Linked DNA regions of Sus scrofa. The protein of the gene in region 2 interacts with the protein of the main gene of each other region in a pairwise test. Links are inferred from orthologs where the notes say so. Each region holds a gene or a part of one and is shown on either strand. Other genes may lie near its edges.

Evidence for each region.
Region 1: the proteins of ARL6IP1 (region 2) and C5H12orf10 interact in binary tests that used the Homo sapiens proteins (3 or more experiments, as listed by UniProt). The two-hybrid records come from large-scale screens. The link is inferred for Sus scrofa from reciprocal best matches to the Homo sapiens genes ARL6IP1 and MYG1.

What each region holds. Positions count from the first base shown.
Region 1 is NC_010447.5:18,514,578-18,520,933, reverse strand, and holds the start of C5H12orf10 (UPF0160 protein MYG1, mitochondrial), read right to left. Parts: upstream 3,988-6,356; 5' UTR 3,735-3,987; coding exon 3,510-3,734; intron 3,315-3,509; coding exon 3,202-3,314; intron 386-3,201; coding exon 226-385; intron 1-225. Other genes in the region: PFDN5 (prefoldin subunit 5), read right to left, coding at 4,133-4,209, 5,699-5,804, 5,921-5,995. UniProt on the Homo sapiens protein: 3'-5' RNA exonuclease which cleaves in situ on specific transcripts in both nucleus and mitochondrion. Involved in regulating spatially segregated organellar RNA processing, acts as a coordinator of nucleo-mitochondrial crosstalk.
Region 2 is NC_010445.4:26,762,684-26,767,836, forward strand, and holds part of ARL6IP1 (ADP-ribosylation factor-like protein 6-interacting protein 1), read left to right. Parts: intron 1-850; coding exon 851-984; intron 985-1,898; coding exon 1,899-2,018; intron 2,019-4,317; coding exon of another isoform or gene 4,318-4,329; coding exon 4,330-4,447; intron 4,448-5,153. UniProt on the Homo sapiens protein: Positively regulates SLC1A1/EAAC1-mediated glutamate transport by increasing its affinity for glutamate in a PKC activity-dependent manner.

The sequences.
Region 1 (6,356 bases), on a different chromosome or scaffold from region 2:
GTGTTTCAAAGCCTTTCCCCATACTTTAGCTCATGTACTTCTCACTGCCACCTCAGATGGAGGCAGGGGAGAGTAAGACCCCTGTGAGAAGATGAGCCTGACTGAGGGAGAGGGCAGAGGGCCAGCAAGGGTCAGGAACCCTAACCTGAGCCCAGTTTCAAGTGCCACTCTAACCGGCCTGGTGGAGATGCTTGTGCAGGGCATCTCTTGTCCTCAGGTCCCCACCTTGTCATAGAGGATGCCCACCACGCTGTCCTCTTCGCTAGTGCCCAGCAACTGGGCCAGCAGCTTGTGCCCGAAGTGCAGATAGATGAGTCCCGCACTGCTCAGCTTGGTCTGCCACGGCTTCCCAGGGGACAGGGAGCTCATGGTCTCTGTGAAAGACCTGAGGAGCACAGGGAGGTGGGGCTGAGGCAGAGCTGCCCCAGTTCACTCCCAGTGTGTGCGCGCGGGGGTCGGGGGGTGGGGGAATACTGAGGGAGATGGAAGAAGGCCCAGCTGGGGAAGCTTTGGCTTGACCTCAGGGGTCAACGTGGACTTGAACTTGGAGTCTCCATTCATGCATTCATTCGACCATGGTTAACGCAGTGGTTACCACATGTCAGGCTTTGTGTTGTAGATATTAGAGATGAAAAAACTAAGACCCTGTCCCTGCCTTCAAGTTCATTCACCTAAGGCCGACACGCACACCCACCCACCCACCCACACAGTGACGTGAATGCTTTAGCCAGTTATAAATAAGGAAAGGGGGAGGGTGAGGAAAGGGTTCAGGAGGAGAGCCTTCGGGTCACTCCTGAAAGTTGAATTAGTGGGTGTGAGCCAGACAGACAAAGGGTGAGAAGGAGAAAAGGCATTCCAGGTAGAGAGAACTACATGTACAATGGCTAAGGGACAGATCTCTTGACAGAACTGCAAGAAAGGAGCTTGGCTTGAGGAGTGAGCAGCAAATGACAAAGCTGGATGGAGAAGCAGGGTCTGGACCACGGCAGGCTTTGTATGCTGCAGATGAAGTTTGGCTCTTATCTGTGGGTAAAGGGGAGCCATCAAAAGAGTGTAAGCAGGCCAGTGTGTGTCAGAAAGAGCACTGTGCCAGCTAGCATGGAGATGAGATGCAAGGAGATGCAAGGACAGAGCATGGGGGACAGGTATGACAGCTGTTAGAGCAGAAGAAACTACAGCTGCAATTTCTAAATACCAATCCATACGAAGGATCAAGGGAGTTCATTTTTTTTTTTCTAATGATTTTTTTTTCCCTTACTGGCCATTCTAATGATTATTATTAAATATTGAGTAAATACAAAAATATTTATAAAATATTCATAAGGTATAAAGACTAATAACAATAACCCTCCAGAGGGATTGGCTGCGTCTTTGGACACAGGTTCGATCACCAGGCATGTGGCTGCAGCTAGGATCTGATTCCTGGCCCAGGAACTCCATATGCTGCAGGGCAGCCAAAAAAACCCCAAAAACCAAAACAAAACAAAGATTCAGACAGAAGGAAAACTAAACAGTTGATGGAAACAAACATAGGTGCTACACTGTACACAAGAACAAGGATATGATGAACACAAAATTCAGGATGCCGCTCATTCCTGGGGGATGTGGGGGGATGCGGACGGGAAGCGGTGCCCAGTGTAGATACAAAGGTAATAGTAATGTTCTCGTTCCTAGGCTGGGAGATCAGTGCACGGGTATTTATGTTTTATATTCCAGAAATGTTACATATAGTGATTTATGTGTCAACTACTGCATAGCTTTTTTTAAAAAAAAGGTGTATACAATAATTAGAAAAAAGAAAGCTGTCAATAGTGTCAAGTGCCATAAAGAAGTCAGTTAAGGTGAGACCCTCAGCCAGCAACCTGAGTTTGGTATTGAGGTCACTGTGCCCTTTCCACAAGCATTTCTAGTAGAGAGACTGGGAGAGAGTTGGCTGAATGAATGACTGAATGGATGGATGAATGGAATGAACTGGAAGGGATGTGGAGCCAGGTCAGCTCTTTTGTTGAAAAGTGGCTGAGAAGTGAGGGTGAGAGGTTAGGCTCTAAGTACGGGGAGCATTCCTCTAACATCATTTATGAAAGTAACGCATATACTTAAACAAAAAGGAGAGAGAGAGGGAGGGAGGGAAAGAGGCAGGGGGAGAGAAATAAACTTAAAACCTCTTCATGAACCCTCAGAGACAACTGCTTTAAACTCTGTGGTGTATGTGAGGGAAAGTTTTGGGGTCTTTTCACTCCTTTGTTTTCAAGATGTGAGAGGCTCAAGCAGAGTTTCTTGCTGTAGGCAAGAAGTAGAAACCTGGAGTTTCCGTTGTGGCTCAGTGGTTAATGAACCCAATCCATGAGGACGCAGGTTCCATCCCTGGCCTTGCTAGGTGGGTTAAGGATCCGGCGTTGCCGTGAGCTGTGGTGTAGGTTGCAGATGCGGATCGGATCCCACGTTGCTGTGGCTCTGGCATAGGCCAGTGGCTACAGCTCCGATTCGACCCCTAGCCTGGGAACCTCCATATGCCATGGGATCGGCCCAAGAAATGGCAAAAAGACAAAAAAAAAAAAAAAAAAAAAAAAAAAAGGTAGAAACCTGGCGGGAGAATTGTGATGTGAGGTCCCAGAGCAGAAAGTGACACATTGGACGAGGGCAAACAGAAGGAAATGTTTCCTGAATTGGAAGGAGGGAGCTGACATGTTCAGGAGTGAGAAAGTGAGGATGTGCACGCAGGAAAAGCTCAATTTCCTTTGAAAGGAAAGGAAATTCCTCACTGAGGGAGTCTGATGAGGCAGGGACTTGAGGATGGGAAAAGGACTGGAATGGTACTATGGATAAAGGGCTACAAGAAGAGTTCTCAGTGGAAGACAACACAGCCCAGCAGTCTAAGGTGGGGCAGCAAGGGCACCTGAAAGGATTAATCCTGGGTGGAGTATTCAGTGGGGTGATGACGGTCCGGGTAGAAGAAAAGCCTGACTGCGCCAAACTGGGACGTGAGTCAAGAGGGGCCTGGGGACTGACGGGGGCCACCAGAGGCCTAAGACCAGATATGAGCGCCGGGCAGCGGGAAAGGATGGAAGACGCTAGTCCCATAGAATTCAGTTTGCTTTCCAGGGCGAGGCGCTTCCCTTCGCTGACACGGACGATGGTGGACTGGAGCGCTGAGTAAAGTTGACATCAAGGAAGTTGAAGAAATGGTATGTGGGAACCTACCTCTGGTGATGGTCATATCGGTGTCTCTGAGGGTCGTACTCTCCACCCACGTCTACCACGATGTCACAAGAAGCCAGTTTCTCGGGGTCCCGGGTCCGCACAATCTCTGCATCCTGCAGGGGACAGAAGTGGTGAGGGGGCTGCTAAGGTCGCACGGGTAGAGGGTTAACGTTGGGCTTCCAGGGAACCAGGGAGGAGAGAAGGGGAACTCAGGCCACGCGAACTACCACAGGGACCCCTCAAGGAGGAGGACGTGCACCGCCCCAAGACTCGCCAGCTGCCCCCAGGTCAGTTTGGGTGAATCGTACCCGGTACTCGGGCAGGAGGCGCAGCAACGCGCAGGCCAGCGCCTCGTCGCAGTGGAAGGTGCCATTGTGTGTCCCGATTCGGGGCGGAGCCATGAGGTGGCTGCGGGGCCTTTTGGAGGGCAAGACGAACTCCAGGCTGAGCGTGCGATGCGGACCCCAAAGGGTTGGCACCGGCGGCAGCGGGAGCAGCAGAGGTAGGAGACCGCGCAGGAAGCGGTGTCCCATGCAGCTTACCCAGAAGGAGGGCGCTGAACCGGAAGGGGAAGTGCTGGCACCGCCTTACTTCCGCTTGCCACCGTTCCCACAGCAACCAGCCTTGCCCGGAAGTGTGGGAGCTGCATTCCCATACCTGCTCTTCCAAGGGCCCAGGGTGAAGCCGCCAAGATGAGCACTGCATCACACCTGCTTATCAGGCACTGGGAAGGGACGCGCCCTCTCACCACCGCCCTCCCACCTCATCACTCGTCTTGTGCTTAAGGCAAGAAAAGACCAACACTCTGCCCAGCTGGCACATTTATTAGTTAATACACAAGACCCTCCTCCTCCCCCATTCTAGGAAACCACGCTCAGAAAGTCCAAGGCTCCTGAAGCAGGAACCCCCATGCCATTTCTGAAACAAGCTCTCAGGCTTTGGCAGTTGCCTGAGCTGCTCCCAGGGCTGTGAGCTGCTGAATCTTCTGGCTCATCATCTCCATGACAGCTGTCGGGAAAAAGTCAGATCTTGGTCAGAAGCTAAAGGGGAGAACCCAAAGTTCAGGAAAAGTGACAGGCAGACAACATACCATAGTTAATAAAACCTTTAACTCAGTGAGCCGCTGTGGAGGACACACATAACACAAATTTATAGAGTCTAAGATGTGTCAGTAAAGATGATAACAACTGGGATATAAAAATGAACAAACACAGGAGTTCCCGTCATGGCGCAGTGGTTGACGAATCTGACCAGGAACCATGAGGTTGCAGGTTCAATCCCTGCCCTTGCTCAGTGGGTTAAGGATTTGGCGTGGCCGTGAGCTGTAGTGTACGTTGCAGACACGGCTCAGATCTCGCGTTGTTGTGGCTCTGGTGTAGGCTAGTGGCTACAGCTCCGATTCGACCCCTAGCCTGGGAACCTCCATATGCCGCAGGAGCAGCCCTAGAAAAGGCTCAGAGACAAAAAAAAAAGAATACAAATGAAAAATGAAAAAATACATATAAAGAGTCACATATAACCAGAAAATTATAACATTGAAAAGATTTCTGCCTTTATAACAGTGATTCTCAATCCTGACTATACAATAGAATCACCTGGGGAACTTTTTAAAAAGCATTGCTGGAGTTCCTGTTGTGGCACAGCAGAAGTGAATCTGACTGGTATCTACAAGGATGTGGGTTTGATCCCTGGCCTTAATCAGTGGGTGGTGGATCTGGCGTTGCTGTGAGCTGTGATGTAGGACACAGATGAGGCACAGATCCTGAATTGCTGTGGCTGTGGTGTAAGCCGGCAGCTGCAGCTCTGATCAGCCCCTAGCCTGCAAACGTCCATATACCTCGAATGCGGCCCTAAAAAAGAAAAAAGAAAAAAAAAAAAAATCATTGCTTCCTGGAACACGCCCCCACGCCCACAGATGGATTTACAGTTGACCCTTGAACAACATGGGTTTGAACTGTGCTGGTCTACTTACACATGGGTTTTTTTCAATAGTAAATACTATAGCACTACATGATCCCTGAGTGGCAAACGCAGAACTGAATTTCTTCTACTTCTTGAAGCGCTGGTGCCCAAAGCCCAACTCTGTTCAAGGGTCAACTGCAGCTGATTTGGAGTAGGCCCAGGTTTTCTTTTTAAATTCTCCAGGTACAGCCAAAGCTTTACTTGCCAGTAGATAGCTAGTTAGGGCTTTATTTCTTTCCTGTGTGTTCATTTACATGCATCTTTTTCCCTATTCCATCTACATTAAATAGGATCTCAAACACAAAAACACAGATGGGATTTCCTTTCTCTAAATTTCTCAAGCACTGAACCCAGGAATCTAGAAATAGCGGATATGTGATGCACAGCATCTAAAGAATAATACATCAAGACACCAAAGAGAAAACCATGGTTTTAATCCAACAAAGGGGACACCCGCCATGGTTCACGCTGCAATTCATGTTCTTGATTATTATGGAGGTAGAAATGGTGAAGAGGTGCCCAAGGCCAAGCTTACCCTGTTTCATGGCATGCTTCTCCTGCAGAGCTGGCTGGATTTTCTCCATTTGCTTGGTGAGGAAGTCTATCTTCCTCTTGAAGAAGTCCTTGGCATCTTCAGCTGTCTGGAAGGTCAGAGGTGAAGGAGGGGCTAAGAGGAGACCTCTTTGTGCACTCTGGATCTCTCCCTAAACTCCCTCTGCCTCCTCAGCGGGGCATCCATACGCTTCCTTCCACTCACCTTCTCTACATAGTAGCCAGTTCCCACATCGATGAGCACATGTTCCACATCATGCAACTTCCCAGGGACGTACATCTGAGAAGCGAGGATTAAGGGAAAACTAGCCCAGCATGAGTCCTGATTTCCTGTCGGCTCATCTGCTTGACCTCCTAAGAACCCCTTTTTCTAAAAACTTAAAAGGTACCGGGATCAGATAATCTGGAGGCCTACACACTCCAAAGGGGAGACACAGGGAAGTTGGTTCCTTATGGAGAAAATTACACATGCTGATCTTGCCCTGATCTCACTGCCACCCTCCAAGAAGTTCTTAGAGTTCTTCCCATTAGCCCTTCCAGAAAGACTAGATGGCTTTTTTTATTGTCTTTTTTAGGGCTGCACCCGCGGCATATGGAGGTTCCCAGGCTAGGGGTCAAATCGGAGCTGTAGCCACCGGCCT
Region 2 (5,153 bases):
GTTAAGTCAGTGAAATGAAACAACAAATTAGTTGTAACCACCTGAAATGAGCAAACTTAAAGTGATGTAATTTCATTTTCAGAAAGCTGCCACTTAGTAGGACATGACTTTGGGAAAGCAACTTTTTTTTTTTTTTTTTGGCTGTGCCCTCCTGTGTATGGAAGTTCCCGGGCCAGGCCAAGGATTGAACCCACACGACAGCAGCAACCAAAGCCACTGCAGTGACAATGCCTTAACTCGATGCACCACAAGAGAATTTGGAAAGCAACCGTTCTGAGCTCACTTTCTTTTTACTGTAAAATGGATCTAATTATCCTTATTTTATGAGGTTCTATACGGGTTATTATGTACATAAAGAATAGCCCAGTGCTTAGAGTTGGAAGGTGACCATTAAGTGATAATTTTTCCCCCGTAATTTCTGGCTTTGGTATCAAAACTGCAGAGTTTTTTTTAAAGACTAACTTGTTTAAGATAGTGATTTGTGGAAGTTCCCATTGTGGCTCAGTGGTAATGAGTCCAACTAGTATCCATGTGGACGCTGGTTCGATCCCTGGCCTCATTCAGTGGGTTTTGGATCCAGTGTTGCTGTGAGCTGTGGTATAGGTCACAGATGCAGCTCGGATTCCACATTGCTGTGGCTGTGGCCTAGGCCAGTGGCTGCAGCTCTGATTCGACCCCTAGCCTGGGAACCTCCGTATGCCATGACTGTGGTCCTGAAAAGCCAAAAAAACCATAGTGATTTATAAGAGCTCTTTTACATGCTTGGTGCCTTAGAAGAATTTAACTCTCTAGGAGCCACGAAAATATGGAGATTAGTAAAATAATCCCTTTAAATGTTGCTCATATGTAGGCTGCAGAGACTGCAAATCTGGAAGAGCAGCTGCAGGGATGGGGAGAAGTGATGCTGATGGCAGATAAAGTCCTCCGATGGGAAAGAGCCTGGTTTCCACCTGCCATCATGGGCGTGGTTTCTTTGGTGTTTCTGTAAGTGAGATATTAAATTACTGTGGATTGTGCTTGTTACTAATAAAGACTCCAGTTCCATTTATGCAAGTGCCTGAAGTCTTTTGTAATGTATAATCTGTGAAGAATGCCTTTTCTTAGAACCGCAGGCCTGGTTTCCAGAATTTGTAGTACTTTTGTAAGCTCCGTAACCCAATGCAGTGAAATAAATCTAGGTCCTGCTGTACAGCACAGGGAACTATATCCAATCACTTGTGATGGAACATGACAGAAGATAACATGAGGAAAAGAATGTTTTGTATGTATATATGCCTGGGTCACTTTGTTGCACAGCAGAAATTGACGGAACATTGCAAATCAACTATACTTTGAGTAAAAATTTTTTTGAGGGAGTTCCCATTGTGGTGCAGTGGAAATGAATCCAACTAGGAACCATGAGGTTGCAGGTTCGATCCCAGGCCTCACTCAGTGGATTGAGAATCCGGCATTGCCATGAGCTGTGGTGTAGGTCACAGATGCAGCTCGGATCTGGCGTGGCTGTGGCTGTGGTGTAGCCCAGCGGCTACAGCTCCGATTAGATAGACCCCTAGCCTTGGACCTTCCATATGCCATGGGTGTGGCCCTAAAAGGACAAAAGACAACAACAACAACAAAATTTTTTTTTAAATCTATGGCTTAAACTTTGGGCCTTAAGAGCCTTTATGCTCCTAAAAAGTATTGAGTACCCCGAAAAGCTTTTGTCTCTTGATGTTTACATGAACCCTTGCAGCTCTGATGTCATCATGTCATGAAGCTTCCGGAAAACCACTTGTGAGAAAATTAGAATGGAAAGGGCAGATAATCTCTTTGAGAAGCAGAGGTCTGGATGAATAAACATCTTCAGCTAGGAATAATATGTTTTTATAACCTTTCTTTTTTTTTTTTTTTTTAAACAGGACTATCTACTATCTAGATCCATCTGTTCTGTCCGGTGTTTCCTGTTTTGTGATGTTTTTGTGCTTGGCTGACTACCTGGTTCCCATTCTAGCACCTAGAATTTTTGGCTCCAATAAATGGTAGGTGGAACAATGACTTGGCAGTCAAGTTTCTGAGAAGTTACTGAACCTGGTATCTGTGACTAGTATGCTGTAATTAAGCCCAGAGAATTGTCTTCACCGCCAGATACTGGGGGGTAGATTTATTGCTTGAAGTGAGGCTTTTTTAGGTAATGTTTTATCTAGGATTGCAAAACTCATCATGAGCTTTCCATAAAAGTAGTATGTCTACTTTTAGATTTTTTTCCGTTGATATTTAAGATAATATTAATTTTACAAATTACTTTTGAATAAATATGAGAACAGTAATATAGTTTTTTGGAGGTTTTTTTTTTTTGTCCCCCCCCCCCCCGGCCTATTCATTTAGCATCTATTTATTGAATATCTACTTTTATGTTAAGACACACTAACTGCCCTGGGTGCTGTGAAATAGTTTGAGTTTTAGGATCCTTTGTTTCAGGTTGACACAGTGCAGTGGTGGATGGCAAAATACACGCTAAGTGCTTTAGAATAGATTCAGGCTATATATACAAGTGGGTTATTGCTTTCATCTCTGCTCTTCTTTGAAATGGTTACTTATGAGTTCCCAAGATAAAGTTAAATGGCTGCAGATCCTATTATTTTTACCTTCCCTCTAGAAGGTTGCATTTCTCATTTTTGATCCTAATAGTGAACAAAACTAGATACTAGATTTTTTTTCCTGCTAGCTGCTTCTCTACCTTGGGTGTTTATTTTAATGTGATTAGTAGTCTACTTAGGCCTTTAGTTATTTTGTTCCCCTGATAATAGTGAATTATAAAATAATTCTGTAAAAACAACAATTTTAAACAGTAGGGTTTGCTTAAGTTATGGGATAATTAAGCATGTTTATTAAGATATTTCTGCCGCAGCAGAATGGATTAGTGTTAGGAAATGTCCTTTGAATTGTTTTTCTTGTGCAGTAATGAATTATGCCCCTGTTTGGGGGCACGCTTGTAACTATGTCATGTAACAACTTAACAGAATCAACCTCAGACCTTGACTTTGTTAGCAGGTGACATTCTAATCTGCTAGTTCACTGAACTCCTGGAGAAAAGTTTTCAGCAGTAAACCTTTGAGGTTTCAGTGTGTGGCTCAGTCTTACCCACAGAGCAGTTTTAGTTTTTTGGCTTTTATGAGGAAGGAAGAACACAGTTACCTAGCCACAGTCTAGCCTTAACCAGGAACAGCATATGAGGTCTAATTATTTACAGGAAGTTGCAGAGCTTAGCGGAAACCCTTCTACAGTGTGTCCCTGTAGGCTCACAAGGATGAGGACTAGAAATCAAAAGCAAAACACCCGCAGTATATAGAGCTTGCTTTACAATAGCAGCCATTCTGTCTGTCTAGCAGAGACACTACCAAGGCAATTTTTTTTTTTATCAAAACCCAAAATAAATTATGAATTAAAAAGGATTTTTCTTGGAAGATCTTTTTGTGTTCTTACTGAAGTTTTGCTTATGATTCTGTTTTCCCTTCATGAGAACTCAATTTATAGGTGTTACCGTCGTGGCTCTGCAGTTAATGAGCCCGACTAGCATCCATGAGGATGCGGATTCGATCTGATCCCCTGCCTCGCCCAGTGAGTTAAGGATCCGGTGTTGCCATGAGCTGTGGCGTAGGTCCCAGATGCAGCTTGGATCCTGAGTTGCTGTGGCTGTGGTATAGGCCCACGGCTTCAGCTCTCTGATTAGACCCCTAGCCTGGGTGTGACCCTAAAAGAGATGAAAAGATTAAAAGAAAAAAAAATTTTAAAAAAGGAACTAAATTTATAAAGAATTTGGATTTGAGCTGTTTGTTGCTGCCTTGGCATCAAATGGGTGAAGCCCATTTGAGGGTATTGTGCCTTGAATGCTGGTAGTTCTTACCTTACTGAAGAAGAGTGCTTACATACAGCGGTTTGGTAGAAAGGTCTCCTCCTTATCAAAGTGGTGGGCCTCAGATGGGCTATAGCCCAGGATTCATTGGGATCCGCAGAATACTACAGGATTAGGGAAATTCATTCATATTGATTACTGCATGGCTCGTAGCAGTCATGAATCTTTCGTTTCTATCATTGACCAAATACTGTTTTAGAACCACATATAACCATTGCTTTGTACACACACACACACGTCTTTATGTTAAAAGTTAATTCCTATGTGATAAAAAGAGACTTAACTGGTACAAGAAATTTTTCTATAAGAAAATGGTGAACCACTATTGTTTTTTATTTAGATTTTCTTTAGACAAATAGCTTTGTAAATTTGAGAGGATGGTGTATCTGTTTACTATTAAGATTTGCTTATAGTAAAGGCTAAAGTTCTTTTTCTAGGACCACTGAGCAACAGCAAAGATTCCATGAAATTTGCAGCAATCTGGTAAAAACTCGACGCAGAGCTGTGGGCTGGTGGAAACGCCTCTTTACACTAAAGGAAGAAAAGCCTAAAATGGTACTTTTTTGGTTTTGACTTAAGTAAAGCAATATTTTGAGATTCAGCGCATTTTTACTTCATTGTAGTCTAAAGCCTTCTTGCTTTACTCTAGTTACAGTTTGATGTTTGTCAAACTATATCTGGAGTTCTCTTGTGGCTCAGTGGGTTGAGGATCCAGTGTTGTCACTGCAGTGGCTTGGATTACTGCTGTGGCGCGGGTTCGATCCCTAGCCCAGGAACTTGCACATGCCACAGGCATGACCAAAAACAAAACAAAAAACCCCTATATCTGTTGGTTTAACTCCTCTGAGTGCCTTCATAAATATTTATCTATATTAGACTAGAAGTTAAAATTACATTTCCCAGTTAATTTTTTATTCTAGTAATAAAGTGAACTTTTTAAATTTATAAATAGATGTGAAAGACATATGCTTAAAAAGCGTTTGTTCTCTGGAGGTCCCTTAGTGGTGCAGGGGAAATGAATTGGACTAGGAACCATGAGGTTGAGGGTTCAATCCCTGGCCTCGCTCAGTGGGTTGTGGATCCGGCGTCGCCGTGAGCTGTGGTGTAGGTCACAGATGCAGCTCGAATCTGGCATTGCTGAGACTGTGGCAGAGGCCAGCGGCAACAGCTCCAGTTAGACCCCTATCCTGGGAACCTCCATATGCTGCGAGTGTGGCCCTAAAAAGACGACAAAAAAAAAAAGTATTCTCTTTTGCTTTAG